2 linked regions of the Kluyveromyces lactis genome follow. The protein of the gene in region 2 purifies or fractionates together with the protein of the main gene of each other region. This does not show direct contact. Links are inferred from orthologs where the notes say so. Each region holds a gene or a part of one and is shown on either strand. Other genes may lie near its edges.

What was found. The genes of interacting proteins can lie anywhere in the genome.
Region 1: the proteins of RBP95 (region 2) and NHP2 purify together in Saccharomyces cerevisiae (affinity purification with mass spectrometry; 3 studies listed by BioGRID, with this or other methods). This does not show direct contact. The link is inferred for Kluyveromyces lactis from reciprocal best matches to the Saccharomyces cerevisiae genes RBP95 and NHP2.

What each region holds. Positions count from the first base shown.
Region 1 is NC_006039.1:1,335,929-1,338,377, forward strand, and holds NHP2 (snoRNA-binding protein NHP2), read right to left. Parts: upstream 1,099-2,449; coding exon 649-1,098; downstream 1-648. Other genes in the region: SNU56 (Snu56p), read right to left, coding at 1-160; active spliceosome conformation promoter CWC2, read left to right, coding at 2,056-2,449. UniProt on the Saccharomyces cerevisiae protein: Non-catalytic component of the H/ACA small nucleolar ribonucleoprotein (H/ACA snoRNP), which catalyzes pseudouridylation of rRNA and is required for ribosome biogenesis.
Region 2 is NC_006037.1:956,774-959,670, reverse strand, and holds RBP95 (RNA-binding ribosome assembly factor RBP95), read right to left. Parts: upstream 1,433-2,897; coding exon 584-1,432; downstream 1-583. Other genes in the region: KLLA0_A11088g (uncharacterized protein), read right to left, coding at 1-329; CTO1 (Cto1p), read left to right, coding at 2,178-2,879; POL4 (DNA-directed DNA polymerase IV), read left to right, coding at 2,873-2,897.

The DNA.
Region 1 (2,449 bases), on a different chromosome or scaffold from region 2:
TAGGTAATTGAGCGACACTTTGGTCCTCTGTTACATTGGATAGAACCTTCCATAAGTCATCGGTTTTGGATTTATTAGGCACTAACGTTGTTTGTTGTTTCTTATTTGGAGAATGGCGAAAGTCTGCAGAGGCCGGTCTCTGCCTTTTCTTTCCATACATTATAGAGTGCTTGTATCCCTTATATAGGATCTTAATTAATGGGATGGAAGGTTATCTTAATCTTGGGCAACATATTCCGTTAGTACTTCACGAATGTTACTTAATATGATGTTTTCTTTTATTTGGTTTCTGTTACTGTTAGAAAAAACGCTGGTATACAAATCGAGACAGAATACACAAATTGCAGAGTGCTTTTAACGATAGTAATCTATATGATTTGATGACTTCGGTACATAGATATTAATATTTATTTTACAGATAGGTGGGTGTAAGTAGATGCTCGAATCAACTGGTATATGCCAATTGGAAATTAGTCTTGCAGTCTCAGTATATGCATTGCAAGAAGAGTTCAAAAATAGTAGTTGTGAAGTGGAAGTAGTTGGGGTTAATTAAACAAGCCAACACCAGGAAGCAATTAACGAAACACTCGGTGTTTTGCGATTATAACTTTCTCTTTTCCGGTTGTTCTGTCGACAGTTTTCATATCTCTACAAAGAGCTTACTTCCTTAACAATTTCATCGAATGCAGCACGGTATTCTTCTTCCTTAGCCTTAGCATCTTTCTTCTTGTTAGAGCCTGGAACGATGAATACAACAGAAGTAGGTCTCTTGGTGGCACCAGCAGAACCTAGATCTTGCTTCGAGGGCACAAAGATATATGGAACAGATTGGTCTTCACACAAAACTGGCAAGTGAGAAATAACATCTTGTGGGAAAATATCACCAGCAATGACTACTAACCCTTTATCACCCTTTCTCAAAGCCTTGACAACCTCTTTGACACCTCTTTTGACATTCTTAGCCTTGGAAGCCTTCTTGACGGTCTTTAACACCTTTTTGTTCAGTTTCTTTGATGCTAGAGGTTTTGCAAATGGTAGAACGGCAGGAAGTCTAGCTTCGTAGTTGTCTTCTGTTGATACACTCTTATCCTTGGCCATCTTTGTTATTATGTATAGTTCTTCACTGTTCCCCTGGTTCAAATAGAGCGAGCAATTGATTGAGAAAGGAATCAATATCACATCAGCAAGATAGGTTCATCGATTCATTCAACAGTTCAATTCTCATACTCATCGCTCTTCTTTTTGTTAACAAAAAATGAAAATTTTCCAGTACCGAGTAACATGAAAAAGAAATAAAGTATCAATTACAGTAGGGACGACATAAATTAATCCATGCGACACATAAACAACTTTTCAGAATATCGTGCCAGCGTCTTGTTTCGGAGGTGGTACATAGCAGTTGTAGAAATGTCCATCGCCTAACATTATTCTGGATGAGTCCCTTTAATTTCATACAAAACTTGGAGTTTTAAATGGCGAACAATATGTACAATGATTAAACTCTGTAGGAGAAATTAGCTGTTCCAGGTGCAGGGCATTATTGTCCTGTGATCACTTCACTTGTATAATTAAATACTTTAAAAGGTTTAAATACTCCATATACCTCTTAATGTCAGGCAATGTAGTCTTAGTAAACCTTGAAGTTTGGTTATAGCATCATTGAAAATTACAACACACAAGTAACTTCTCTCGGTAGCCAAGTTGGTTTAAGGCGCCAGACTGTAATTTGAAAACACAAAGCAATTTGTAATCTGGAGATCGGGCGTTCGACTCGCCCCCGGGAGACTTATCTTTTTTTCGTTTCCATTTTGTTTTTGATCATGATCGTTTTCACTAAAGAAAAGTTCCAACCTTGAAGTTTATTGAAAACACTTTGGCCTGCGATGAGATGAACATGGAAGATGTGTGCTCGACAAGATACAGTTTTCACCGTTATAATACGGTATCTGTTGTTGCATAAATTGGACGGTTCAAACTGTTTGCTTGTTCGAGGTCATTAAAGAATACTTGGTTTGGCAAATTGCCAAATATTAAGGTCATCGTCATCAATATATTATGACTGGGGATTGGAAGAACCGACCAGCAAGGGTTCAGTTACAGGAGTCTGACCTACCTTCATCAGTACCGCCTCAGACGGGTTTGGCTTTCAACGTATGGTACAACAAATGGTCACAGGGGCAAAGTGGGTCCACTAGGTTCGTCACACCGTACTCGCTTGATCCCGAGAACGATTCTGGTATCACTAAAGGTGATAAAGAGGGTCGGATTCATTTCTGTTTGTATTTCGCTAAGGGAATGTGCTGTTTAGGCAAAAATTGTCGGTACTTGCATCATATTCCAGAGCCAGATGATTTTGCGAGGTTAGCTTTGCATTCCTCTGCGTTAGATTGTTTTGGAAGAGAGAAATTTGCTGATTATAGAGATGATATGGGTGGGGTAGGTTCCTTCA
Region 2 (2,897 bases):
CAATCAAGCAAAGAATCGAGCCCCATCGAATCTGCAAGTTCGTTTGGCCAATCAGCACCAAATTTGTTGTATCGCTCCGTTTGACAGTATTGTTTCAAAGATTCGAACATTTCACTTCGTTCAATGTCAGTTGTGAAGAGACGTATCGGCATTACTTTGAGCAGCGGAAAAACATGTTTTCGATCCAATATATCTGTTTCAGTCAGTTTTGACTCCTCGATTGATTCCCACGGGAGATCATCGTACCGTGACGGGAGTTTAAAGGGCTTTCGCAGAAGATCAACCACAAAAGATCCTTCTTCATTTACAGTCTCGATATTTCGATTCATTACAATGTATACTATCCCTGTAATTTGATTGCATGAATACTGTAAGGAATTGCAATGGCCCGGCTTGGTTCCAGGTCAATGAAAGTACTGCATTCGCTCGTCGTGATCATTGCTATTGTCATGATGCTTCTAAGATGTATCCATCCATCACTCAACCTTTTCTGATAATGGGAAAAAGGCGCCGAGCGGTAGTGATGATAATATCACGTGACCATTTCTTTTATTGAATGATAAAAAGTAGTTACACGCACTATTCAGCTATTTAGTTCATATTTAACACCCCAGGTATCGAGCATGGAACGTACTCTTTCCAGTAGCTCTTGGCTAGGTGGTAGGATCTCGTTTATTTTATTAGCTGTATCCTCTTCACTTTCGTCAGACTTTTTGGACATTTCTGTTTTGACATCTTTATCCTTGGACTCATCATCGGCGCTCTGTTTCTCTTGATCTTTGGATGCTTCTGTAGCTTCTCCCAGCACAATCTTAGCCATTTCCTCTTTCTGCTGCTCTAGATATTTATTTTGCTTCTCGATAACATCCAAACAACTTTCTTGTAGCTGAGCCTTCGAACCACCCTGTAAGTCCTGGAAATATCTCACTAATAGCGGGTTGAATGCTGATGGGATCTCATCAGTGATAACGAAATGTTTGATGAGCCAATTCTGTTTCTGTTTACTGAACTTCCATACATCTCTTACTACGTTTTTGTCAGCTAATTCCTCAGAGGGTGATATAATTGATACGTTTTCCTTTACACTAGGAAGCTCTTTCACGGCTTCCGGCAGCTCCACTTCCAACTTCAATGTATAGAAATCGATCAAATACCTCAATTGATCCTTCAACACAGTTTCCTTCTTCTTAAGTCTATCCTCTTTGGCCAATTTCTCTCTTTTCCTGTCTTTACTCTTTTTTGCAACTTTGTTGCCAGTGCTTTTACTATCCGCATTGCCACCTCTAATAATCCTTCTCTTCTCTTTCTTCGAAAGTGAACCGTTGGAAAGATGTGTAGACACAATGAGTGAGTCTAGCTCATCATCGATCTGATTCCCTTCCTCTGACTTCTTGATCTGGAACCTTTTCCAAGCAGGTACGTGTTCCGACATCTTAATATATTGTTTATTGCTGTGTTGCTATATTTCTATGATATTAACAGAGCCAGTAATAGTTTCTACAGTTCAGATATACTCTGTATACTATCTCATCTCATCTCATCTCATCTAAAGCTCTTCTTTTCACCAAATTTTCAGCTCAGTTTTTCAAAAAGAAATACTTTATTTACTATGGGAAAAAAGATTCAAATGGACTCAATGAACTTTGAACTCGTATGTACCACTTTATATTCTCATCTCGAATGATATTTTCTGACATATGATTTCGTTTTTAGTCTACCAATCATAAACTTATTGCTCGGCTGGGTCTCATCGTTTGGTTCAGACTACTGTGTTGGACTTGAGAGGATTTTCTTCTCTTGTTTTATTCAACGGTTAGTATTTCTGTCCTCGAGAATCATAATTGGGCCTGAGCATAGACTGAAATACCAAAATCAACAGTTTGAGTTGGGTCCCTACGATACTACTACGGGGACTTAATATAGAAGCTTGATTACATTCTTTTTATTATATTTAATGTGTTCTTAGAATTTCCCAATGTAGACCTCTCTCTATTCTTGTCCTTTCAATAGTTTTTTTCTCCACTAAGGAATAGCCTTTGTTTAAATCCCAAACAAAATGAAATCGTTCTTTCACATTAAATCTTGAACTCTTGAATGGAAACTCGGCAAGTATGGCAGACCAGTTCCTTCACGCTAGATAAAACATTGGCTGGTCGGAGTTGTGTTAAGAAAAAATTATGTTGAAACGGATTCTTGTACTTGATTTTGATGGCACTATCACCACTAGTGATACCACCAGTATCATTGGGCAATCTGTTTACAATTTGAAATCAGTACCTGTCGCATGGACTCATTATACCAAGATATACGAGGAATGCTATATTCCAAAACCAGAGAATTTGGCACCTGATGCTTGGAAAGTGGTTTGTGATTATGAACGTGCAAGCAGAAGGTGTGAGCTAAGTTCAATCAACGAACTAGAATTGCAGGATCATTTTAAAGATGTGGTGATCAAAGATCTCCTGCAGCTCGTTAAGGAAAAAGTAGATATCAGACCTGGATTACAGGAGCTGATGCAGCAGTATAACAAGACGTACGTGCTTTCGTTGAACTGGTCCAAGGACCTCATACACGACCTAACGGGTATTTCCAAATCGGATATCTACTGTAACGAATTAAAATCACGTGATGGGGAAGTTTACAGCGGACAATTTACAAAGCAAATATTGACCGGTTGGGACAAGTACGAGATGTTGAAAGAGATTTGCGATTTAGACAAAGTGCAAGGGGACCAGAGCATAACTTATATTGGAGATAGTTTTGGCGATTTGCCTTGTATTCTGGCAAAAGAAGTAGATGGATACATTATTGGCGATCGCTTGAAGCATTTGGATATAGATGTTCCTACTATTCAAAGGTTCGATGAGGTAAAATGTTAAACGGTCATAAGTTCCTTG